Ovis aries: one gene and its partners. The protein of the gene in region 7 interacts with the protein of the main gene of each other region in a biochemical or structural test. Links are inferred from orthologs where the notes say so. Each region holds a gene or a part of one and is shown on either strand. Other genes may lie near its edges.

The links.
Region 1: the proteins of MED1 (region 7) and HNF4A form a complex in vitro, tested with the Homo sapiens proteins (2 studies listed by BioGRID). The link is inferred for Ovis aries from reciprocal best matches to the Homo sapiens genes MED1 and HNF4A.
Region 2: the proteins of MED1 (region 7) and RARA are reported together in a solved structure, tested with the Homo sapiens proteins (2 studies listed by BioGRID, with this or other methods). The link is inferred for Ovis aries from reciprocal best matches to the Homo sapiens genes MED1 and RARA.
Region 3: the proteins of MED1 (region 7) and ESR1 form a complex in vitro, tested with the Homo sapiens proteins (6 studies listed by BioGRID). The link is inferred for Ovis aries from reciprocal best matches to the Homo sapiens genes MED1 and ESR1.
Region 4: the proteins of MED1 (region 7) and ESR2 form a complex in vitro, tested with the Homo sapiens proteins (2 studies listed by BioGRID). The link is inferred for Ovis aries from reciprocal best matches to the Homo sapiens genes MED1 and ESR2.
Region 5: the proteins of MED1 (region 7) and VDR form a complex in vitro, tested with the Homo sapiens proteins (5 studies listed by BioGRID). The link is inferred for Ovis aries from reciprocal best matches to the Homo sapiens genes MED1 and VDR.
Region 6: the proteins of MED1 (region 7) and THRA form a complex in vitro, tested with the Homo sapiens proteins (6 studies listed by BioGRID, with this or other methods). The link is inferred for Ovis aries from reciprocal best matches to the Homo sapiens genes MED1 and THRA.

What each region holds. Positions count from the first base shown.
Region 1 is NC_056066.1:72,778,024-72,782,311, forward strand, and holds the start of HNF4A (hepatocyte nuclear factor 4-alpha), read left to right. Parts: upstream 1-1,488; coding exon 1,489-1,576; intron 1,577-4,288. UniProt on the Homo sapiens protein: Transcriptional regulator which controls the expression of hepatic genes during the transition of endodermal cells to hepatic progenitor cells, facilitating the recruitment of RNA pol II to the promoters of target genes. Activates the transcription of CYP2C38.
Region 2 is NC_056064.1:40,341,174-40,344,002, forward strand, and holds part of RARA (retinoic acid receptor alpha), read left to right. Parts: intron 1-38; coding exon 39-199; intron 200-488; coding exon 489-665; intron 666-1,875; coding exon 1,876-2,080; intron 2,081-2,829. UniProt on the Homo sapiens protein: Receptor for retinoic acid. Retinoic acid receptors bind as heterodimers to their target response elements in response to their ligands, all-trans or 9-cis retinoic acid, and regulate gene expression in various biological processes.
Region 3 is NC_056061.1:76,733,430-76,736,929, forward strand, and holds part of ESR1 (estrogen receptor), read left to right. Parts: intron 1-1,276; coding exon 1,277-1,612; intron 1,613-3,500.
Region 4 is NC_056060.1:74,529,710-74,533,997, forward strand, and holds the start of ESR2 (estrogen receptor beta), read right to left. Parts: upstream 2,801-4,288; coding exon 2,448-2,800; intron 875-2,447; coding exon 702-874; intron 1-701.
Region 5 is NC_056056.1:138,709,084-138,712,583, reverse strand, and holds part of VDR (vitamin D3 receptor), read right to left. Parts: intron 2,513-3,500; 5' UTR 2,511-2,512; coding exon 2,365-2,510; intron 1-2,364.
Region 6 is NC_056064.1:40,132,230-40,135,729, forward strand, and holds part of THRA (thyroid hormone receptor alpha), read left to right. Parts: intron 1-376; coding exon 377-477; intron 478-2,369; coding exon 2,370-2,517; intron 2,518-3,140; coding exon 3,141-3,346; intron 3,347-3,500.
Region 7 is NC_056064.1:39,589,409-39,592,853, reverse strand, and holds part of MED1 (mediator of RNA polymerase II transcription subunit 1), read left to right. Parts: intron 1-31; coding exon 32-3,263; 3' UTR 3,264-3,445. UniProt on the Homo sapiens protein: Component of the Mediator complex, a coactivator involved in the regulated transcription of nearly all RNA polymerase II-dependent genes.

The DNA of each region.
Region 1 (4,288 bases), on a different chromosome or scaffold from region 7:
TGCCAACAAAGGAGGACAAGCTCCCAGGCCTCCAGAATCGTAGGTCCTTCTCCCCAGACCTGCACTTTCCACCTCTACCTCGAGACCTTATCTGCCCAGCTAGATCGGGAGCTCTTGCCCCTGTCTGTGTAGCGGGCAGTGAGGGCTGGAGGGGATGAGAAGAAAAACGTTAGGCGTGAATTGAAGGCCACAAGATTAGCAGGGCCCAGTCCCAAACAAAAATGCAGGCCCCTTGCTCAGAATAGCCGAGCATGAAAGCAAACACAGGAGCGTGAGAGGGGAGCTCCTTTGCCCCAGAGTGCACTGCTCGGGTGGCTTGCCCGCGAACCCCGCTCACGAACCCCGCTCTGGAGGGAGGAGAGAAACAAGGGAGATTTGAAAGGGAGGCCAAGAGGGTGGGGGTGGAGGGAAATGGATACCTGCTTGGTGTTTTCCTAACGCCAACTCATTTAATACTCAGACCACCCTTTGAAGTTGATTGTGCATTTTTCTAGAAGAGGAAACTGAGGCTCAGAGAGGAGAATCATTTACCCAGAGTCATGATTAGTAGGTGGTAGGCGCCTGAATGTTAATCCGGGTCTAAGGGACTATAAGCCTCCCTTCTTCCCTGGGGGGTGGGGGAGGCACGGGGTGGAGGGGGGGGAGCTGGAGGAGGTGACAAGGAAAGGGGTGATAGAATCTGTCTGGGCCTGAGCACCTGGGCACTGTGGGGGCTGGTGGTTGCCAGAGTGTGGTCCTGGGGAGCAGGGGAGGGGACCTAGACAGGAGTCTGGGCCTCTCAGTCCTTCCTGCCCCTAGGGAAGGCAAGAAACCGGAAGGGGCCTCCTAGAACGAGGATCTAGAAACCTGGTATGTGGGGCCTGAGACCGACGCTTCTGATTCATGAGCCATGAGACGGCGTTATCTCTATAAGAGGGTTGAAGTCAATGATTTGGGAAGTTCCTGAGTTAGGGCGTCTTGGAGGTGGGCTGTCAGTGTCTGGGGGCGCGTGTGAGCATGTCAGTATCAGCATGACTTGGGGTGACAGTGACTCAGAGGGTGGCTGAGTCAGGGTCCAGTGAGTGCTGGAGAAACAGCATGTGTCCGTCGTCTCACAGGACTGGTAACACGTTATTGGGGTGTTAGGGCCCCCCATCTGTTGTAAGAGCACCCTGGTGTCAGCCAGAAACCAACAGACAGCCAAATCCCCAGGGCCCCGCCCAGCCAGTCCACCGGGGTGGGGGGGGGGAGCCGATTAACCATTAACCCCCACCCCTCCCCAGCAGAGCCTCCACCCCTGCGCAGAGGCTAGGCCCAGACTCCCGGCAGACCCTCCCAGAGGACGGTTTGAAACGCAGGAAGGCAGAGAGGGCAGCTGGGAGGAGGCGGTGGGAGGGCGGAGCGCAGAGGCCGGGGCTCAGCCCAGAGCCTTCGGGGTGGGCATCCTGGGCAGGGCAGGCGGCCGAGGCGGGGAGAGGGAGGATGCGCCTCTCCAAAACCCTTGTCGACATGGACATGGCCGACTACAGTGCTGCGCTGGACCCAGCCTACACCACCCTGGAGTTTGAGAATGTGCAGGTGTTGACGATGGGCAATGGTAGGTGGGGGCAGGTGTGCCCAGGTGTGCCAGGTGGGGGCAGGTGTACCCAGGTACCGGAGCGAGTCTGACGCACTGGGTTTGGGGCTGGGGGGACAGCGGTAGCTGAGCGTGGTGGTCCCGTCAGTGAGGGCACAGGTGTTGCCAGGTGAAGTCAATGTTCCCAGGTACAGTGACCAGAAGCCTTCGGGGTGGTGGCGGGGGGCGGGGTGGTCTGCCAGGGCCATCTGCAGCAAGAGTAGGCCCTGGGTGTTCCTGCCAGGCCTTCGTGGTCCCTGTGACCAAAGCTGTCGCTGTGCAGCATGTCACTGGGAGCGGGGACTTCATGGTGAGCGTCCTCTCGGCATCCAGCCCCAGCCATTGGGCCCAGCATGACCTCTGCTTGAACCCCTTGGGCCGAGGTCCAGAGAGATGGAAAGGTTATGTCCCGTCCCCAGAGACGGTGGATGGAGACATGACTGTGTTTCAGGGTGTCTTTGGGACTTTCCTGGGGTGAACGCCCCACTTAGAGAAAATGGAGTTCTCAGGGAGGTTTTGCTAAATGAGATGGGGATCAACAGTGCGCATGGGCACGCGCATTGTGTGTGTGTGTGTGTGTGTGTGTGCGCACACGCACAAGCTCACTGGTATGCGATTGTAACCTCCCATTGGCATGGGTGCTTGAATTTCCATGTACACACGTGGGCAAGCGGTGGACTTTGTTGCAAATGTATGTCTGCAGGAACCCATTTGCATGTTTGTGTTCACTGGTCTGTGTGTGCACGTGTTCTGCATTTGTTTCTAGTTGCATTTCTTCTTTGAGTGGGTCCGTGTTTGTTGTTATCTCTAGGGATATCTGTGTTTATCTTGCTTATGTCCATAAGTGGCGATGAGTGTGTGTACAGTAAGCGGCAATGTGTGTATACGGTAAGCAGTGATGAGTGTGTATGTGTGTCCATGACGTTTGCACGTATGAGCTCTGGACGTGGATTGGTTTGTGCGTCCTGGGTTTCCTGGACATATATCCAGTTTGGGCATCCTGTCTCGTGCCCCTATTTGTACCTGCTTGTGTACGTGTGCACATCCCCGTCCTGGGGGGTCAGCTCTCTTCAGCGCTCATGTGATATGCCGTTGCCATTCACACACGCGAGTCACATCAGCAACACGTCCATTTGTCTCAGACCAGATTGCGTTGCCTGTGTGTCTCCCCAGGTTTGTACATCCGCTCCCGTTATCACTGAGAGCACATCTCCTCCACAAGGAGGTGGGGGAAGGGAGGAGGCTTGGAAGCCAGGATGCGGGGACCTGACCAGTCACAAGCCAGCCTGAGGAGGAGGGCAGCCCACCTGCCTTCCTTCCATGGTTCTGCAGCTTTAGCCAAGCTCTGTAGCACTTGAGTCAGCTCAGCTCAGCCAGAGGGAGGTATTTGCCCTGCCCGTGGTCAGTGGGCGTGATGCGTGGTCGCTCTCACCATTTGCTCACCTCCCCCTGCCATTCACTCACTGTGTGACCTTGGGCATGTCACCTCCCCTCTCCTGGCTCCTTCTGCAGAATGGGCTTAGTCACTCCAGGCCTGCTGGCTTTCAGGAGTGTCCAGGGATCACGTGAGGGAGCTGAGGGGAAAACATGTAGGACACAGTAAACAGGAAGCTGCTGCACTCGGTGGGGTGTGTGTGACCCCAGAGACAGCGTGCGAGACACCGACCACCGTCTAGCCCTGGACTGTCCCATCACCCCTTCAGAGTGGGTGCCTCCAGCTCCCAGGAAGTGTGTGTCCCCGAGGCAGGGGCTAAGCTCCTTACGGGATGTCCTAAAGACAGGCCAGCTCTAGCTCTGGAGCCAGAAAGATCAGGGCTCCAATTCTGGCATCCATCCTTCCTACCAGTGTAAACTTATGAAGCCATTTTCCTCTCTGAGCCTCAATTTTCTCATCTGTAAAATGAGAATAAATCATAGTGCCTGCCTCCCAGGGCTAACCAGAGGATCCCATGTGATAAGGCACCTGAGGGCTTAGCACTGGTAACTGGTCCTGCGCCCTCCATGAGTCAGGTCAGGAACTCTGAGCATCTTTAAGAAGGGTCTACATTCCCCATTGGAGTTTGAAGTGGGCCAGAAAGTTGGGGCGATGTTTTGCATATGTGCTGGGTTGGTAGCTCAAAGGTTCTAAGCTCCCTACCCACCTCCCATCCCTGATTCAGAAGGACCAGGGGGTCCTTTATCAGAGGCTCCAGCAGACACGCCAACAGGACAGCACTGGCCAGATCAGCACCAGCCTGCATGCCTGGACCATAAATCTGACTCCTTTACTTAGCAGCAGTGTGATCTCTGGGAAGGTCCTGTCCTTTCTGAGCCTTGATGTTCTCACCTGGAGAATGGGCACCATCCCCTGACCCTGGGGTGTAGGATGAGCTACTTGGCAGCACCCAGCCTATCCTGCCCAGGATGTGTGAGCCCTTCCCCCAGTCTCCGCCTGAGTTGTAGGGTCAGCTGTCCCGGTGGTTGGAGGAGGCAAGGCTGGAGGAGAAAGGGCACCAATGCAGCTTAACAATTATCCTCATCTCCAGGAATAATTCACCAAGTGGAGGGGGCCGTGCTCCTGGGCACCCTCGGAGGCGACGAGATGTTCAGCCAGGACATGACAGAAATGAGATGTGGCAGTGTGTCCGCTTGTGCCTGGAGGCTGGAAATCATCTGCTCCCAGAGTCGTCTTTTGCAGAAAAGTTTTTATTTTAC
Region 2 (2,829 bases), about 750 kb from region 7:
CACCTGCCCTCTCACTGTGCGGCCTGGGCCCTCCACAGCCGTGAGAAATGACCGGAACAAGAAGAAGAAGGAGGTGCCCAAGCCTGAGTGCTCTGAGAGCTACACGTTGACACCGGAGGTGGGGGAGCTCATCGAGAAGGTGCGCAAAGCGCATCAGGAGACCTTCCCTGCGCTCTGCCAACTGGGCAAATACACTACGGTATGGCCCACCCCCCGCCAACCTCATGCCCTCCAGCTGTCAGGCCTGCCCCTCCCCCAGGCTGGGCAAATACACTTCGGTACAGCCCCCCAGGGGCACACCTGCTTCTTCCAGGCCTGCCCCTCCGCAGCCCTGCTTGGGCTGCCTTGTCTGCCCCTTCCCCGCCTCTCAGGAAGTGAAGGCCAGTAGAGGGCAGGCCTGTGGGGCGGGGCAGGTAGAGCCAGGCCCAGAAGGGTGCCACCAGGGGAAGGCCCTCACTTTCCTCCCCCTGCCCCCCCCATCCGCCCAGAACAACAGCTCAGAACAGCGTGTCTCCCTGGACATTGACCTCTGGGACAAGTTCAGTGAACTCTCCACCAAGTGCATCATTAAGACTGTGGAGTTCGCCAAGCAACTGCCCGGCTTCACCACCCTCACCATTGCGGACCAGATCACCCTCCTCAAGGCTGCCTGCCTGGACATCCTGGTGAGGGTCTGCACCTTGCCCACCTAGGCACTGCCCCCTGTGTTCTTGGAGGATGTCCTGCCGCTCAAATAAGCACCTTCCTAAAAATCTGTCTGGAGTCAACCTGTCCAAAGGCCCACCCACCCAAACAGCCACCTTTGCTCTCTCCCGCATGTCTACCTGTCTGCTTAGCCACCCAGCACCCGGTGTGCACCATTCACCTGTACTCTCATTCGTCCATCCTCAGCCCATCTTTGATTCAGTGCTTCCGTCCAGCCACCCATCTTCCCATCTATTCAGTCTAATAAAGGTTCACCTGGGACCCTGTATGGCCAGGCCTTGAACTGGGTTTCAGAACAGAGGTGAACACACCACTGTCCCCTCTTGAGAATCTTCCATTGGTGGAGGCAACAGATAGGTAAACAGAGGTTGCAAAACTGTGATAAGTGCTGGCTGCAGATAGGGGAGGGCTGTCCCCTCCCTGCAGGACAGAGAGCCGCACTGCTGGGCCCTAGGGAAGAGCCCCAGAGGAGGTAGCCTCTAGAGGTGTGTAGAGCGGTATGTGGAAGGCCTGCTGGTGTGGGACCAGTGGGATTCAGGGGCCTGCAGGGCATTTGGTGGGGCCAGAGGGTAGGCTGGACTTGAGGCAGGATGGGGGCGGATGAGACTGTCAAATCCAAGGCTGGAGGGAGGCTTGTCCTCCCTGTCTTCCTCAGCCCTCCTGTTCCCTCTTGGCGACCTCCAAGGTCGGGAACCTGGGCTGTGACCAGGCTGCTGCTCCTGGTGGAAGGGAGATGCAAGAGGCAGGGTCAGGGTTTGAGAGAGCTGAAGATGAGGTACATTTACTGAGCTCTTGTTCTGTACCCAGCCCTGGGAACCATAGACCGAAACCCCCTTTGGTTTGGGCCTTCCTGGAAATGTTTTGTCTCCCTCTTAATTCTCTGTGTGGAGGCAGGATGCTGTAGATTTGCACTGTCTAATACAGTAGCCGCTGGCCATGTATGGCTGTTTTAAATTGAAATTAATTAAAATTAAATTCAGTTCCTCAGTTGCACTCAGCATGTCTCAAGTGCCCAGCGGTCACCAGTGTGACTGGTGGCTACTGTGTTGCACAGAAGGTTCTGTAGAACCGTAGTGGTCTGGCTGCCGGCCAGGTGGTCCTGGGGGGGATGCTGGTGCCGGAAGTGCTGGCGGATGTGAGTTCCTGAACTCGAGAACCCTCTGCACCCAGATCCTGCGGATCTGCACGCGGTACACGCCCGAGCAGGACACGATGACCTTCTCGGACGGGCTGACCCTGAACCGGACCCAGATGCACAACGCCGGCTTCGGCCCACTCACGGACCTGGTCTTCGCCTTCGCCAACCAGCTGCTTCCCCTGGAGATGGATGACGCTGAGACTGGGTTGCTCAGCGCCATCTGCCTCATCTGTGGAGGTGGGCAGGGGCCCTGGGTCTGGGGGCCAGGCTCAGGGGTGGTGGTGTGGCTTGCGGAGCCTCTCCCAGGGAGAAGCTGGGGGATCATTTGATCAGAAAGGCACCTGTCAGACAGGAAACTGAGTCCCAGTGGAGTAGGATCTGGTCTGTGGCCACAGGGCAAGGGAACAGTGATGGAGACCTGAGCTCTGGTTCCCTATTTCCAGGCAGCGCTCCTTACAGGGGGCTTACGAGTGAGGACTTGGAGGTCAGACCACCCAGGTTCAAATCCTGGCCAACATGTGACCTTCAGCAGGGTCGCTGAACTTCTCTGAGCCTCCATTTCTGTAAAATGGGGGCAGTAATGGTCTCCACTTCATAAAGTTGATGGGAGGATTAGGAGGTAATAAATAAGGCACAGTGTGCCCAGAGTAAGACCCAGGAGATGTTGGCTGCTGTTACTATTTTATTGACATGAGTGCTGCCATGTTGGGCTGGTGTCCAGAATAACCAGCAGGAGTGGGAGACCTACCTCTACTTAAGATGGCACTGCCTGTGTTTAGGGGTGTGGGCTCTCAGGGTGAGCTTTGGGACACCCTTGTCCCCAGCCCCTCTTTGCTCACATTTGCCCCTCTTTGCTCACATTTGAGAGCCTCTTAGGGCCTCTGTGTGTGGGGAGGCGTGGGGAGCAACGATACTCTGCCTGTGGCCTGGACAGGGGCGCCCCCTGGTGGTCACGATGGGGCCCGCAGCTGTGCTCCTCACCGGAC
Region 3 (3,500 bases), on a different chromosome or scaffold from region 7:
GAGAAATGCTTATTTTGATACTGAACAAATAAGGAAGGGTCTGTGGCATCATTATATTTTTAATATCATGTAACATATCTAATCTAGATCTACAAGAATAAAAGCTATGCATAAAAACCCACCAGTGAACATTTGTCCAAACTCCTTGATAGAACAAAACAGAGCAAAATTCTGACATCAGTTATTCATTTGTTTTGGAATCAGAGGACAGGTGATCTGTTACAAAGAATTTTCCTTCTCATGTCTTTAATATTAAAAATAATTAGATTTTTACCAAAATAATTATTTCTTTTATACAAATCTAAGAGTTGTTGCTTTCTGTTCTATTTTGGAGAGATTAAGAGTTTTTGAAAATATGGCCCCTTGTGTTCATTTTTTTCCTTTAAAATATTTGTTTCTGCTGATGCATTTTGGTACTACAGCCTGGTGTTTTCTAGGTTAAGATGCTGAACCAAGCCTCAAAGAATCTCTGCCAAAAAAGCTGGAGTCTCTCTGCTCCTTTAATTAGTTAGGGGGAACCACAGCTGGTAAATCTTTGAGGGAAGACTATTTTCAACTCTTTTAAAACTTTAATATTAGGAAAATAGAAAGACATTTGTGACATCTTAGAACCTAGTCAACAAGTTGAGGCCCTTGAGTCGATTACTCAGGTGATGAGGTACAGCTTAGTAGTAATAATAGATTGACTCAACATCTGTGGAGGCTAGAGACTGTCAGATACATTTTGGATAAATGATTCCTTTTTAGTGTCTCCCATTAAGAGGTCTACTTGGGTAATAAGGACACTTATTAAATACTTTCTAAAGATGCTTTTTAAATTTGCTATTGAAAGAATATTCATAGCAGGAGCAATCTTTGATATGGCATATTTCAAGAGTAGCTAATTAATATGTTGTCTTTTTTATAGCATCTGTTACACATACACACACACACACACACACACACACATCCTGCAACAGTATGTAAGAGCAACTTGCACTGGCTCACAAAAGCCTATTGTTAAATTTGTAGGAGTTTTGTACACTGCTTGATCTCAGACAGGAAGCTTGAAATTTGCCATGGTGGGAGTCATTACACCATGGAAATTGGTGAATGCTACAAATCAAAGCCTTTTTTTCCCCTCTCGTGGACAGCTGGTTGTTAAACACTTAGAAGCACAACTGTGTCCCAAACTATTTCCTAAAATAAAATAAAGGGCTGTTAGCATTAAAAATGGTTTTCATGTGAAAGTTTATATGAGCAAAAGAATAAGCTATTTTTGTGTGTGTGTTCTCAGGGATACGGAAAGACCGAAGAGGAGGGAGAATGTTGAAGCACAAGCGCCAGAGAGATGATGGGGAGGGCAGGAACGAAGCGGTGCCCTCCGGAGACATGAGAGCTACCAACCTTTGGCCAAGCCCGATCATGATTAAACACACTAAGAAGAACAGCCCGGTGTTGTCCCTGACGGCTGACCAGATGATCAGTGCCTTGCTGGAGGCTGAGCCCCCCATAATCTATTCTGAGTATGACCCTACCAGACCTTTCAGTGAGGCTTCAATGATGGGCTTGCTGACCGGCCTTGCAGACAGGGAGCTGGTACACATGATCAACTGGGCAAAGAGGGTGCCAGGTAAGAAGACTAAGCTTGACTTTTATTTTGAGCAGCCATTAACTATTCATGAACAGGTTGCCATACGTATCATGGGAGAGATAGTGGGACACAATAGCTTGTTATCTAGTTGATTTTAAAGTCATATCAGAACTGATTAATTTTCAGTATCTATACAGTCTTAATTCTCCTGGAAATTAGGAAATAGTGTTTTGAAATAAAAATCTAGATGATTAAAGTCTTTAATCTGACATTATTTTTTTAACCCATCAATATTCACCCCCCCCCCAAATCTGGGGTGAACACTAGATAATAAATGCATTTAATATTATATGTTCACTGTGGCAGAAATTTTTAACACGAAATGATCCATGTCCTATAAATTTTTAATGTTGAGGACTTTTGTTCAAAACACCTAAATTGTGAGTCATCAATTTTACTGTACAAGATTTTATTTTCAGGTATTTATGAGCTAAAGAAATAATAAGTTTTTTTTTTTTTTTACTGAGTGCCAAATATTCATTGAGCCATCTATTAACAGTTTAGAAACAAGGTAATGCAATAGAAAAATCAACTAGGTTCTCATCTCTGAGGGGAGCTTGTGGAGAGATAACAGTGGCTAAAGTTATACTTGATTCTTCAGCTGATATTCTCAGAACTGGTGTTTTTATAAAACATGACTGTTGCTCTATTGTTCAGGGGGAAGAACTCTAGTTATTATGGAAACAAGACTAGAAAATGACCTCCTCCATACCCCATCATATCCATTCAGGAGCTAACATAGATGAATCAAGGCAAGAGGAAGTTAAATCTTCTTTTCTGTGCTTATAGATCAAACAAGTAATGAATTTAGATAGTGACTATCTTGTGAGTTTTCTTTTAGTTCAGTTCAGTTCAGTTCAGTTCAGTCGCTCAGTTGTGTCCGACTCTTTGCGACCCCATGAATCGCAGCACGCCAAGCCTCCCTGTCCATCACCAACTCCTGGAGTTCACTCAAACTCATGTCATCGGGTCGGTGATGCCATCCAGCCATCTCATCCTCTGTCGTCCCCTTCTCCTCCTGCCCCCAATCCCTCCCAGCATCAGGGTCTTTTCCAGTGAGTCAACTCTTCGCATGAGGTGGCCAAAATATTGGAGTTTCAGCCTCAACATCAGTCCTTCCAGTGAATACCCAGGACTGATCTTCTTTAGGATGGACTGATTTCTTTTAGTAGATGAACTTATTATCTATGAAGCATGCATTTTGTTTTTTATTAAACTAAATAAATAAGGAGTTTTGTAGTTACATTTCAGAGATTATAGGCCAAGTGAATATATATCTGGCCTTAGATTTGCATTTATTAACATGTAAGCATGTCGTCTTTTGAATAAGGAGCCAGCAATTTTGTGATCCAAACTGGATAGAAGGCATCTATTTAGGTGGCAGAGGTTGGGTTACATGGAAACATGGGGATTCACAGGCATATTTAGATTTTGAGTCAGTCCAACTGGCAAATAAAGACTCCCAGCCATATTTGGAATTAGGAGTTTTAATGAGCACTTCTCTACCTTAATATTCCTTTGTGAGGCAGATCCATGATAAGTAAATATTGGAATTTAAATGTAATGTGGTAAAGGAGGCAAGAATATACAACAGAGTAAAGACAATCTCTTTAACAAGTGGTGCTGGGAAAACTGGTCAACCACTTGTAAAAGAATGAAACTAGATCACTTTCTAACCCTGCACACGAAAATAAACTCAAAATGGATTAAAGATCTAAATGTAAGACCAGAAACTATAAAACTCCTAGAGGAGAACATAGGCAAAACACTCTCCGACATAAATCACAGCAGGATCCTCTATGATCCACCTCCCAGAATTCTGGAAATAAAAGCAAAAATAAACAAATGGGATCTAATTAAAATTAAA
Region 4 (4,288 bases), on a different chromosome or scaffold from region 7:
CCTGGAAGGAGGGCTGACAAGGGAGGAGTTATGGGGGTAGAGAGACAGCTAAGAGCACAGGAAAGCAAGAAAGTGCCTGCAGCAATTAGGCCTGGCAAGGAAACGTGTGGCAAGGGGCTGACTGGCCTTGAAACCAGGTGCGTACAATTTGAAATTGATTAAAGAGATGATTTAACAAAATCACAGAAACAAAAAGCCAGCCTAGCAGAAATTTGGAGAAGGAAAGGGAAACAGTCTAAACTCAGACCAGAAAATAGGAATGTAAAGGAGGTTCCACTAGTTGAGCTACTGACTGCATAAAACATATTCTCTCTTCCTCAGGAGCCAGCCCACCATCTCAACTGTTACATATGCTAGATATTAAACATAAGTCAAAGGAAGAAACAATCTTCACAGTTCCTAATGGGCACACATTTTTTCCAGCCTTCACAAAGGTTATGTTTCCTCCTAGGAAGACGGCAACAGGTGATGGTGGTGCAAGATCCATTTGGGTTTGGGGGTAGAGATCTGAGTGAAAGATAAAGTACTCTATACTTGAAACAATCCCCCCACCCCCAAAGACACATGATCCTCTGAAACAGTCACCAAGTACTCTGTGTACCAAGCAGGCCAAACAAAGGTAAAATTTCTGCCAGGTCATCCGCAACATTGTTTAAAAGCAAAGTGGAAAACAAAAAAAGCAGCTAACAACATTCTTGTACCTTGAATGCTTCTTTTAAAAAAGGCCTTACATCCTTCACATGACCAGACTCCATAGTGATATCCCGACGCATAATCGCTGCAGACAGCACAGAAGTGGGCATCCCTCTTTGAACTCGGACTAGAAACAGGGCTGGCACAACTGCTCCCACTAGCTTTCCTTTTCAATGTCTCCCTAGGGGCAAAGAGAACATTCACTGTAAAAGAACATTGACGGTAAAACAAGGCCTTTCTAGAAAAAGGAACAGCATGAACATTGCCTCGTGTATCTCTTTGCCCTCCAGGCTTCATAACAAATATATTCCAAGAGATCTGATCAAGCAAAACCTTTGTTACTGATATCAGATCTATTAAGAGTCGCTCTGTTGGGATCGCTGGTGTCTGAAAGTGGATAGGTGAGTTTACACCCATCCACACAGTGTGGATGAACACCGATTACCATGGAGAACTAGCTATAGCCATCAATGTGTACATCTCTGTAATCAGTGACTACATCAAGTCTGGGTGGGAGCAGTAGCGAAAAGGGGAAAGCGAAGGAGAAGAGAAGAGGAGAGGGGGAGAGCATAAACACATGCCTGTCCCTTGAGAAGGCTCTGAAGAAAGCAGGTGTTCAATGCAGGGTGGAGAGGCTTACCACAGAGGAAGGGGGAACCCACAGTGGGCCACCGGCAGACACCAAGAACACACCGGGCTAGTTCCTAATTTTGCTACAGCATGTTTCCTTTGGAAAGGACATGGCAGAGGTATGATTGATGTATAAATTTAATATGCTGAGGTTTAATGTACCCAAATATTAGCAGAGCTCTGATTAGAACTTGTCCTCAGAAATAAGATATTTCTTCCTTTAAAAGTTGAATGTGAAGACATTACTTTTAAAAAGTCATCTACATTTTTCATATTCTCTTTTACCAATCAAAAAGTTCTTTAAAAAAGAAGAAAAATAAAATTAGTGTGTAATATGGCTTTCTCAAAGTTTTATGAATTTGAAAGTAATAAACTTCAATACCAAATATGCCATAACTTAGTACTTGGGTTCTTGTGTAAAGTTATGCCCCCTCATGCTTCTGCCTATACTAACTCTGCCCTCTGTAGCCATGATTATCATTAAAACTATCCGAGTTCAATCCCTGGTTGGGGAAGTAAGATCCCACAGCCACATAGCACAAAATATATACGTGTGTGTACGTATAACAAATTGAATGCAAATAATCCCTGATGTTACCTTGCACTTAGAGTTTCAGAATGTTCAACTAAAGTCCACATTAGTTTCCTGTCAATCTTTATAAAATGTTATTTAGTTCACTGTTTAAAAATTTGTACCACTGTTTGTCTTTTCACCTGTCTAGCATTTCATCGAGTTGTAATACCAATGGTTACTTTTATCTTGGACATAATTTGTCATGAACACTAAGTTGTGATTTCACTTCAAGATAGGAAGGCTCTAACTTGAAAATAAAAATTCCTTTTTCAAACTCAAATCACTTCATCAAGAAGAAAGTGATTTAAATTAAATATTTTCCAAAGATAGTCATGAAGTGAATTCTCCCCCACAACACAGATCTAAAAGCTCAACTTTTTAGTAAGGACTAGAATATCAGAATAGATATCCTAGAATTCAGAACATCAGATGTTCTAGGTGCTCTATGTGATAATGAAGACCTTGTATAACACATATCTTTCTTCTCACTAAGTCATAAAGCAATCTGAATATCGGCCATAATATAATTCAGAATGAAGACTGGATTTACCTGTTCACAGGGAAGGTGTGTTCTAATGATCTGGTTTCACACCAAGGACTCTTTTGAGGTTCTGCATACAGAAGTGACGACTGGCAATGGATGGCTAAAGGAGAGAGGTGTCCAGGAGTTGGCCACAATACATTTGGGCTTGTGGTCTGTCGACCAGGCCCATCTTCTGAGTTATTGGGAATACTGTAATTCATCACAGCAGGGCTATAGAATGTCACGGCTGAGTATTCATGGCGGCTCTCTACATAGGAAGAGGGTAAATATATGGGGCCTGGCTCCAGGGGTAGAATGGATTGACCGCAGTTATAGGAGACAGGAGAGTTAAGGCTAGATGGTGAGTTTTTGACATCCATGTCTTGAGTAGGTAACAGCTAGGAAAACCCCTTGTGAGAAGCACAAAAGAACATTATAATGTTCTCAGAGTCATGGACAGGTATGGCTGTAAAGAAAAAAGAAAAGACATTTCTAAGTTACAGGTACAAGCATACTGTGAAAAAGGTTGACACATTTTTATTACACACACACACTTATATGGACCCAGAAATACATCCTGAAAAATATACACACAACCTCAGAGGGGTAGGAATAAAAGGCATGGAATTCATTCTCTCCCTTCATTCACTTCCATAAAGCTTTTGTTGTTAACTATAAGAATTTTCTACCATGAGAATTTAATATAAAATACTTTTAAAAATTAAAAAACACAGGGAGTTCCCTGCTAGCCTAGTGGTTATGACTTTGGGCTCTCAGTGCTGTGGCCTGGGTTCAATCTCTGGAGAAAAAACAAACAAACTTAAAAAATATACGATTAAGTAAAAATGCCAACCAGTTTTTTTCCCCCTAGAAGTAGATAAATTCATTTTTAAATTCTTACAGAAAAATTTTAAAAACCTACCTCAAAGGGTAGATCAGTAAGCATGACTAGCATTAACAGATCTTCAAATATATCATGAATAGCCAATGATAAAAAAAAGGAATACATAGGCCAATGCACCTGTCAAGGATCAATTTATTGCCTCTCACCTTCTAATGCACTCTTCAATATATGTAGTGTATGTTCTATGGAAATAGAATTCCTTTAAGCATTTAAACTGAGCCCAGTGCTAAGCTTTCTCAGTAGAGGGCGCTGCAGGGACTGCAGGAGGAAGAGGCCGCTGTGATTTCTGGCAGGGGCAGAGGCTGACATGGTGGGTGAGAACAGCCAGTGGAGCCTGTGCGACCAGAACGAGATCCCACTGCAAACATGCAGCCCTGGCATGGCAAGAACCTTTCTGCAATGACCTATTCAGACTACGGCCTGAGGAGTTAGAGAATTTGTCCCTTGTGCAAGCTTCATCACCAGCACCTGCATGCTCTGAAGGCCTTCCGCTCTGGCAGGCAACTGGATTTCCAGGGCATGCCCACACCACCAAATGCTGACTGCCTGCTCCCCACCTGCAACTCCAGACCACTTTTGTCTGGGAAAACCAGTGGACATTTTAGTGGCCAAACTATCTTTTCCAAGGAGGTCTGAACACCCCCACCCCGCCGGTTTGTCCTTCCTTGGGTACTCTACCTCGGCTCTTGGGTGCTTTATAGAGTTTCTTACATCTTACACTTAATCTCCCATCACAGTTGGGAATTCTTATAGTAGACTTCTCCTGTTGAACTTATTGTGTAGTTTCTTTCCTGACTGGAGAGAAACACACTGCTATGCAACAGAATAGAAAATCCCCAAACAGCAAATTTAAAAGTCAAAAGTTTTTGGAAATTTGTCATATGATAAAGGTGATGTCTCAAATCGCTACAAAAACATTGAACACAGAATAATCATTGGAAAAAGACATGTCCGCCAGAATAAA
Region 5 (3,500 bases), on a different chromosome or scaffold from region 7:
TGCAGGAGTGACTGGCTGGCAATAGTCTCTAATTCTTGACCATAGGTCAATAGAACCAACCAACCCCCATAATCACACTTTGATTTGATTATGAGTCTTAGACTTGCTGAAATGATCACAACTCACTTCTAGAGCAATTTAGTTTGATTAAGAAGTCAATCAAACACTAAATGGTCAAAGGGGCTTATATCCCAGGGGTTAGAATATAGTCAGTGGCTCAACCCTAAGGTAATGCTTTTTCCTTGAGAACTGCTCTTGCAGGGCTGAGAGAGCTTCTGGAGAGCAAGGGCTTGTGCTATCTTTGTGTTCTCAAGGATGCGGTACCCAACGCAGAGAAGGACCTCCTTCTGACAGAGGCCTTCCTACCCAGGATGAGGATTCTGCAGACAGATACAACTGACAATGGAATTCTCAAACAGCTATTTGAAATAGACTAAAGAAGAAGATTATCAAATAGTATATGGATGAAGCAAAGGAGGAGAAGTATGTGGAGGGGAGAGAGGAGGAGAAATTATATGCAGACAGTCTATTCTTGTTCTTTGTGGTAGTTACATTCATAAAGCCATCATGAATGCCGAATCAGCAAATATTGAATCATCGCTCCTAGGAGAATTTGGATTAGGTTCCTGTGAGCCTCCGGTCACAATGCTTTCATCAGTCCATCAGTAAATAACTTTGTTTCATGTGAGGCATCTATTTAAACGCACCTTATTTAACACATGTTGTTGACTCATTAACATTGAACTCATAGCCAACAGCTAAAAAGCCTGTGTCTAAACAAAGCTTGTCTAACATGTCTTTTCTCTGTAAGGCGCCTTTCAGCTTTCACATGCTTAGGAGAACCTGAAAGAATTTCAGCACCATGCTTGGGTGCCACCTTACACAGTGAAATCACTATCAAATGGTACAAAGGTGCAAAAAGGATGGCACTAAATATACCAAGAACAGGACACTTGTTCATAGTGTGAGAATTGAAACAGAAGGCAGAATGTCTGGCTCAGCCTTGGCTGGGAACGTGTACAATGAGAGACAGAATTTTTCTCCACTCTGCACGTGTCCAGAAACACCAGAGCTGCAAGTATTGATCTGGGGATGACAAGTAAAGCTTACCAGGTCGTCAGATTTGCAGATGTGGACTCCACAAACAATGAGGATCAACTGTGCATATTTATAAAACAGAATTCAAGCCAAACAATGGGAGAGATGTTGGCTCTTCAAAAAGTGCAGCCTGGGCTGTCATCAAGGCAGAGGCAGTAAAGTTATAAGGTAGATGGAGGACAGGGAAGCAAGATAAAAGCAGCTTGCTGACCATAACACCAGACCTTGCAGGAGGGAGTAGTGGCCGTCAGTCAGCTCAGACTCAAAGGGGCCTCGGCACGGTGGCTCAAGGCAATCAAACTCCAGGCCTGCCAGTTTCTGCCGCAGAGGGCAGGTGAGTTAGGATTCTAACTCTGATTCACGCTGCCCTCAGTGCCAGTTCAGGGAAATGGATTCCTTGTTCTGGACTTGATTCGCTCTTTCCTCTCTTTGATGGAAAGCCCTGCCATTAGCTTTACTCACCCTCAGCAAGACTATTACATAGAAGCTCATTTTTGGCTGCCTTCTTCCAGGCTCCATTCTGTTTCTCTCTCCAAAATATGCAAAATGCTAACTTCTCCTGGTTTTGAATCCCACCCTGCCATTCCTCACTTCTCTCTCCTCCCTCCCTGGCTCCAGATGGGAATAGCCTTTGTCCAGCTTTTCCAGGACTTTCCCATACAGTCTGCACTGGTAATGCTGGGCCTACATGAAAAGAGAAGAGGCTGCTCGCAGAAAAACTAGCCCTGACCAAACCAGAATGCGTGTGCTTTCCTGCACACTCTGAGGTTAGCTTTCCAACTTTGATAAGCAAGTCGTGGTGCACAGATCAAGTATGGAGGTCCAACTAGGGATGTCATTTCCCTTGTTCCAGGGGATGGTTTGGTTTGGATGGTGGCAGGAGGGGAGAGGGTGGGGGTGCGTGCTCTGAGGCCAAGTTCTTGGGCTTCCTGGAGGCCATGCCAGTCTCCTGGACTAGGAAGCTCTGATCATCAATGGTAGGAGGTTCACTCTGGAAGGACATGGGTGGGTGCAGGGGGCTGTATGTCAAGGGGTGATGGACGGATGGGGGTTCACATGAACTGCTTCCACCCAGGAAGCAGTTGGGCCAGAGGACAAGCTGGAGCTGAGGGCAGAGGAGGAAGAAACAGACCCTGTTGGCCCGGGTGGCTGTGAGAACGGGAGTGTTTCTGGGCCTGGTGAGGAAGGAGACACAGAACACGCAGGGTCTCTTTGCGGGAAACTCTGTTCCTCACCCGCTACTCCTCGCTCTTGCAGGGCACTCACCTGAAGAAGCCTTTGCAACCTTCGCAGGTCATAGCGTTGAAATGGAAGCCGGTGGCTCGGTCCCCGCACACCCCGCAGATCCGGGGCACGTTCCGGTCAAAGTCGCCGGGGTCAGGTAAGGAAGTGCTGGCCGCAGTCGCCTCCATGGCTGCAAGAACAGCAGGCGGGGATGAGGCCGCTGGCAGCCCTTCTGCCAGGAGCTCAGCAAAGTCGAGCTGTCCCCAGGGCCCAGGCCTCAGTGGGATCCTTGGCGCCCTCGCTTTGTGGTTCCGGGTGCCACCAGCTCACCCTCCTGAGGCTGCCGGCCACAAGCAGAAGCGGGTCTCCCCAGACAGGCTGGAGCACGTCTGCAGGGGGCGCTGTGGCGATGCTCATGGCGTGGCCTGGCGTCAAAGCCCGGAGAACCAGAGGCTGGTGCCTACGGGCTGGACTCCTTTGGGTGAGGGCTCCTGCCTCTCTGCGTCCCACTGTCCTCATCTGAAGAGTGTGTTTACTTCACTGGGTGTGAGGAAGGTTCTTGTGAATGATACCCACATCACTGGCCTCAGCTGCACCTCAGCAGTGGACCTGCTGCAGGTCAGAGGCCTCTTTGCCCAGGGTCCCCTCCAAAAGGGAAGGGGGCCTCCAACAGCCTTGTACACAGAGGGACACCTTCAGCCCCTCTATCCTTCAGGGTGAGGGGAAGAGGACAGGTTACCTGCCCATAGCAGACCCTGTCATGCCAGCTCCAAGCAGCCCCACAGCTCAGGACGGACAGCCTGGTGTCCTTGCTGTCCTGGTATCCAGGTTATCAAAGCTTTCCCCCTCCCCCTTCTCCCTTCAATGTAAATTCAACGCATTGTTCTGAACATCCTTCTGAGTAATGTGAGTCGTATAGGAATTAATTTTGTTTTCAGAGGCTGCTTTTATAAATAGGCATTATCATCTAGAGATAGATTTCACACTTGAAGAAGGAGGGAAAAGAGACAGAGAGGACAAAATATAATAGCTCTGGGAGAGTCTTCTCAGGAAGCAGCTGACGAGCCTTCCCTTGGGCAAGTCAGGACCTCAGCTTCACCTGCCGCCTGCAATCCTGCCGGCTACTAGCTCAGGGCTATGTCTGGGGTCCCTCCTGACTGGTGAAAGGTTTCAGATGG
Region 6 (3,500 bases), about 540 kb from region 7:
GCCCCAGCCACTGAGGATGGAGTAGGTCAGAAAGGGCCTCTTCCCTTCTCTTCTCCCATCACGCCCTTGCCTGAGGTCCCCGAGATGAGCTGCTGCCGAGATTTGCTTCTCCTTCTCCTGTGTCCCCTGCCCCTGGGATGCAGCAAGAGAGAAAAGCCCTGAAGGGGCAATCAGAAGAACTGGATTCTCCATATTCTTAGGGAAGGGGATGAGCAAGATGACCTCTGTTATGTCTCCAGGACTCTGCCTGGAGACAGAGAACCCTTCAGGGAGGCTGGGCAAGGAAGGAAAAGTGGGGGGATGGAGAGAGTATCAAAGCCTCTCTGCTGGGGCCCCAAGCCATGCCTGCCTGCCTGCCTCCCTTCCTCCCTCCCAGGGTATATCCCTAGTTACCTGGACAAAGACGAGCAGTGTGTCGTATGTGGGGACAAGGCAACCGGTTATCACTATCGCTGCATCACTTGCGAGGGCTGCAAGGTATGGACCAGCCAGCTCCTGCCCCTCCCCCACCACCTGAGCCCCCGACTCGTTCCCTTAAGTCCCTCAGCACCTGGCCCGACAGACAGCTCTATAAACGTGTAACCTAAAGCCCACCTATTTCATCATCATTTCCCCTGTTCATTCATTTGTTCATTCATAGTCACTGCTCTGCCACTCCTAGGCAAGAGGCCTCATCTCTCTGAGCCTCAGGTTCTTCATCTATAAAATGGGTTAGGATAATGATAATACCTATCACATAGCATTGTTGGGGGAATTAAATGAGATAGTGCACATCGAGTATTTAACACGTGCCAAACAGAAAAGAAGCACTCAACAAATGTCTGCTTCCATCCATCCACTCAGTGTACTAAGTGTCAGATGTATAGTACCTGCCTTGACCTCAAGCTGCTCACAGCCTACCAGAGAAAGACTGACGTCAGCTGAAAGCAATATCAGTGTTTTTTAAATGTGGTTCCTGGACCGCCTATAGTACTTGTTAAGTGCAGGTCCCAGCCCTGCTCAATCAGAACATTCTGTGGTGGCTGCCAGGCATCTGCCTTGGAACAGGCTCCCCAGTTGCTTCCACTGCCCGTGAAAGGTTGAGAACCTTTGCTCGGGAGGGGCATGGTGGAGCCCAGAGGAGAGGATGGCAGAGTCTCCCTGGGCAGAGGGGACAAGGTCGTAGACTTGGGGAGACTTAATTAGATCTCACTTTGGGCATTTCAACCTACATGGTTTGTCTAGAGTCATCACCTCCTGAAAATATAAGACCTTTCAAGAAACAGAAAGATTAAGAATACATTGAGGCTTCAAGATCCTCTTTTCTTGCTGTCAGTCAAGCCAAGACCACCAGGAATGGAGAGTCCCCTAGCCGCATTCGTGGAAGCATTACCAGCAGTGTAGCACAGAACAGAGAGTCACACCCTCAAGGCCCTCTGAGTCCCAGTGGGTCATCCTAAAAGGACAGAGATGTCTTCCCACTCCTAGAGAGTCTGATGGTATAGGTTTAGAATGAGGCCCAGGAATCCGTATTTTTGATCGGTGGATTTTAATTGCACCCCAGAATCTGAGAGCTCAAACCTTGCGTCTCATACCTCAGGTCCAGTTCTGACCGTTTAGCCATATAACTTTGGGCAAATGGCTCAATCTCTCCAAGCTTCAGTTTCTTAGTCAGCAACATGGAGATAGTAACAGTTCCTACCTCATGGGGTTGACACCAGCATTAAAGGTGATGATACATGAAAGAAAAGGTTTAGAAGCTCCTGGCTCATTGTAAGTATGCAGCAGACGTTAGCCCTACATATTATTACTGCCATCTTGAGTCTTGAGGTTTTTTTTCCTTTAAAGCAAAGGTTAAACTCCGTATATAAAATTGAAAGTTTTCTTTTCAAGCTAATACTAGTCCATGCCCAATGCCTTTTCTTGATTTTTTTTTTACATTCTCCCTGCCCCTCCACCATTTCATGAATTCCACCTGCATAGGCAACAGGCAGTGTGTATGAGAATGGTTTGGGGCCAGTGTTGTTTCTAGAGTTGTTTAGCAAGATGGAAAATCAGGTATTAATTGGATGTCCACAGTGGCTGTTCCTTCAGGCCTCATCATATTTCACACCCTCCCAGGCTCAGAGCTCCTCTCCGTGGTCACCATCCTTACCTCTGCCACCACCACTCCCCAGGTACCCCGTAGGCAGTTGGGGGCTGAAGACGTGTGTTTCTAAGTCCTGGCAGAGCCCAGGTGATGCTGGGGTTGCTCTGTCCAGAGGATGCCAGGTCCCCTCACTAATTCCCCTAGCCCCTCACCCCCTGCCAGAGAGCTGCATGGTTGGTTCAGGAAGAGAAGATCATGATCACACCATGCTCTGTCTCTCCCCTCCACGCCCCCACTCCAGGGCTTCTTTCGCCGCACAATCCAGAAGAACCTCCATCCCACCTACTCGTGCAAATATGACAGCTGCTGTGTCATTGACAAGATCACCCGCAATCAATGCCAGCTGTGCCGTTTCAAGAAGTGCATCGCTGTGGGCATGGCCATGGACTGTAAGGGGATGGGTGGGGGGAACCGGGCCAGGCAGCTGAAGGGGGGGTGTGTTCAGATGTGGCAGCTCCCTTCCAGGGTACCCACAGGGCAGAGTGACCATCTGGGTCAGGCTGGTGATGGAATGAGTATTCAGAATCTTCAGGGAATTCAGCAGTCCCTGCGGCCCTCATCTCAGAAGAAAAGGAAACAGAGGATTCCTCTATTGGCCCTGAGCACGGGCCCTGGTGCCTACCTGCCTTTCGCCAGTCAAGGGTCTTCAGAGAGTTGTTGGGTAGAAATAAGTCCTGAGTACCGCACCATAACGCAGTATCTCTGACTGCCAGGGAAGGCACTCCAGTACTCTGTGGGGTGAGAGAGGGCCTCTTGTTAGCTGGGGACTGGATGGCTCAGTTTCCCAGTAACCATTGTCACCTTTAGACCAGAACATGGTATCCTCTGGGTTGGAGTTGATGTGGTCCCAGTGATGATCGTGAGCCAGGTTGTGCCACCCGATTACTAGGGAAGTCATTTAGCCTCTCTTGGCCCTTCCCCTCAGTTTCTCCAACCTGAACACTGGGAAGAGTAGTTTCTGAGCAGGTGGCAGAGTGTGCCATGCAAAGGGCATTGTGTCTGTTGTTGACAGTGGTTCTAGATGATTCGAAGCGGGTGGCCAAGCGCAAGCTGATTGAGCAGAACCGAGAGCGGCGACGGAAGGAGGAGATGATCCGATCACTGCAGCAGCGACCAGAGCCCACTCCTGAAGAGTGGGACCTGATCCATGTTGCCACGGAGGCCCATCGCAGCACGAACGCCCAGGGCAGCCATTGGAAGCAGAGGCGGAAATTCCTGGTAAGGAGAGAAGGGGCATGAGTGAGAGTGGCAGCCTGGTGGCCAGGCAAGGGGAGCGAATTCAGAGTCTCGCCTCCTCCAGGAAGCCTTCTTAGATTAGTCCACCCCAAAGCTGCTAGTCTGCACAGCTTGGCAGTTCTGATTTGTACACCTG
Region 7 (3,445 bases):
TTCATTTTGTTTTTTCCATCTTATTTTACAGATGTATGTCGATTCCTGTGACGATGAGGGCTATTCGGAGGAAAGCTGAAACCATTCAGGCCGACACCCCAGCACTGTCCCTCATTGCAGAGACAGTTGAAGACATGGTGAAAAAGAACCTGCCCCCGGCTAGCAGCCCAGGGTATGGCATGACCACAGGCAACAACCCAATGAGTGGTACCACTACACCAACCAACACCTTTCCGGGGGGTCCCATTACCACCTTGTTTAATATGAGCATGAGCATCAAAGATCGGCATGAGTCGGTGGGCCATGGGGAGGACTTCAGCAAGGTATCTCAGAACCCAATTCTTACCAGTTTGTTGCAAATCACAGGGAACGGGGGGTCTACCATTGGCTCGAGTCCGACCCCTCCTCATCACACGCCGCCACCTGTCTCTTCGATGGCCGGCAACACCAAGAACCACCCGATGCTCATGAACCTTCTTAAAGATAATCCTGCCCAGGATTTCTCAACCCTTTATGGAAGCAGCCCTTTAGAAAGGCAGAACTCCTCTTCCGGCTCACCCCGGATGGAAATGTGCTCGGGAAGCAACAAGACAAAGAAGAAGAAGTCATCAAGATTACCACCTGACAAACCAAAGCACCAGACTGAAGATGACTTTCAGAGGGAGCTATTTTCAATGGATGTTGACTCACAAAACCCTATCTTTGATGTCAACATGACAGCTGACACGCTGGATACGCCACACATCACTCCAGCTCCAAGCCAGTGTAGTACTCCCCCAACAACTTACCCGCAACCAGTACCTCACCCCCAACCCAGTATTCAAAGGATGGTCCGACTATCCAGTTCAGACAGCATTGGCCCAGATGTAACTGATATCCTTTCAGACATTGCAGAAGAAGCTTCTAAGCTTCCCAGCACTAGTGACGATTGTCCACCCATTGGCACCCCTGTTCGAGATTCTTCAAGCTCTGGGCATTCTCAGAGTGCCCTCTTTGACCCTGATGTCTTTCAAGCCAATAATAATGAAAATCCATACACTGATCCAGCTGACCTTATTGCAGATGCTGCTGGCAGCCCCAGTAGTGACTCACCTACCAATCATTTTTTTCCTGATGGAGTAGATTTCAATCCTGATTTGTTGAACAGCCAGAGCCAAAGTGGTTTTGGAGAAGAATATTTTGATGAAAGCAGCCAAAGTGGAGATAATGATGATTTCAAAGGATTTGCATCTCAGGCACTAAATACTTTGGGGGTGCCAATGCTTGGAGGTGATAATGGGGAGACTAAGTTTAAAGGCAATAGCCAAGCTGACACGGTTGATTTCAGTATTATAGCAGTGGCTGGTAAGGCTTTGGGTCCTACAGATCTTATGGAGCATCACAGTGGTAGCCAGAGTCCTTTATTGACCACTGGGGACTTAGGGAAAGAAAAGACTCAAAAGAGAGTAAAGGAAGGCAATGGTGCCAGTAATAGTAGTCTGTCAGGGACAGGATTAGACAGCAAACCAGGGAAGCGCAGTCGAACCCCTTCTAATGATGGCAAAAGCAAAGATAAGCCTCCAAAGCGGAAGAAGGCAGACACTGAGGGAAAGTCTCCATCTCACAGTTCTTCTAACCGACCTTTCACCCCACCTACTAGTACAGGTGGATCCAAATCTCCAGGCAGTTCAGGACGATCTCAGACTCCCCCAGGTGTGGCCACACCACCCATTCCCAAAATTACTATTCAGATTCCTAAGGGAACTGTGATGGTGGGCAAGCCCTCTTCTCACAGTCAGTATACCAGCAGTGGTTCTGTGTCTTCCTCAGGAAGTAAAAGCCACCATAGCCATTCTTCCTTATCTTCTGCTTCCAACTCAGGCAAGATGAAAAGCAGTAAATCAGAAGGTTCATCAAGTTCTAAGTTAAGTAGCAGTATATATTCTAGCCAAGGGTCTTCTGGATCTAGCCAGTCCAAAAATTCATCCCAGTCTGGGGGAAAGCCAGGCTCCTCTCCTATTACCAAGCATGGACTGAGCAGTGGCTCCAGCAGCACCAAGATGAAACCTCAAGGGAAGCCATCATCACTTATGAATCCTTCTTTAAGTAAACCAAACATATCCCCTTCCCATTCAAGGCCACCTGGAGGCTCTGATAAGCTTGCCTCTCCAATGAAGCCTGTTCCTGGGACTCCCCCATCCTCTAAAGCCAAGTCCCCTATCAGTTCAGGTTCTGGTGGTTCTCACATGTCTGGAACTAGTTCAAGCACCGGCATGAAGTCATCTTCAGGGTTAGGATCCTCAGGCTCATTGTCTCAGAAAACTCCCCCATCATCTAACTCTTGTACAGCATCTTCCTCTTCCTTTTCCTCAAGTGGCTCTTCCATGTCATCCTCTCAGAACCAGCATGGGAGTTCCAAAGGGAAATCTCCCAGCAGAAATAAGAAGCCGTCTTTAACAGCTGTCATAGATAAACTGAAGCATGGGGTTGTCACCAGTGGCCCTGGGGGTGAAGACCCAATGGACGGCCAAATGGGGGTGAGCACAAATTCTAGCCATCCTGTGTCCTCCAAACATAACATGTCTGGAGGAGAGTTCCAGGGCAAGCGTGAGAAAAGTGATAAAGACAAATCAAAGGTTTCCACCTCGGGGGGCTCAGTGGATTCATCTAAGAAGACCTCAGAGTCTAAAAATGTGGGGAGCACGGGTGTGGCAAAAATTATCATCAGCAAGCATGATGGGGGATCCCCCAGCATTAAAGCCAAAGTGACTTTGCAGAAACCTGGGGAAGGTGGTGGAGAAGGGCTTAGGCCTCAGATGGCCTCTTCCAAAAACTATGGCTCTCCACTCATCAGTGGTTCCACTCCAAAGCATGAGCGTGGCTCTCCCAGCCATAGTAAGTCACCAGCATATACCCCCCAGAATCTGGACAGTGAAAGTGAGTCAGGCTCCTCCATAGCAGAGAAATCTTATCAGAACAGTCCTAGCTCAGATGATGGCATCCGACCTCTTCCAGAATACAGCACAGAGAAGCATAAGAAGCACAAAAAAGAAAAGAAGAAAGTAAAAGACAAAGATAGGGACCGGGACAAAGACCGAGACAAGAAAAAGTCTCATAGCATCAAGCCAGAGAGTTGGTCTAAATCACCCATCTCTTCAGACCAGTCCTTGTCTATGACAAGTAACACAATCTTATCTACAGACAGGCCCTCAAGGCTCAGCCCTGACTTTATGATTGGGGAGGAAGATGACGATCTTATGGATGTGGCCCTGATTGGCAACTAGGAACCTATTTAAAGCAAAAATATGGCCAGAGAAGAACTAAGTGTATAGGCAAATCACCATAAGGAGTGAGTCAGACAGGTCTGATTTTGTATTTAAGAATCTTAAATGGCATGGCTTTGACACCAAGTGGGATGAATTTTGAAAGGCATAGCCGGACCCTACTAAAGAGACCATAGGGTTTG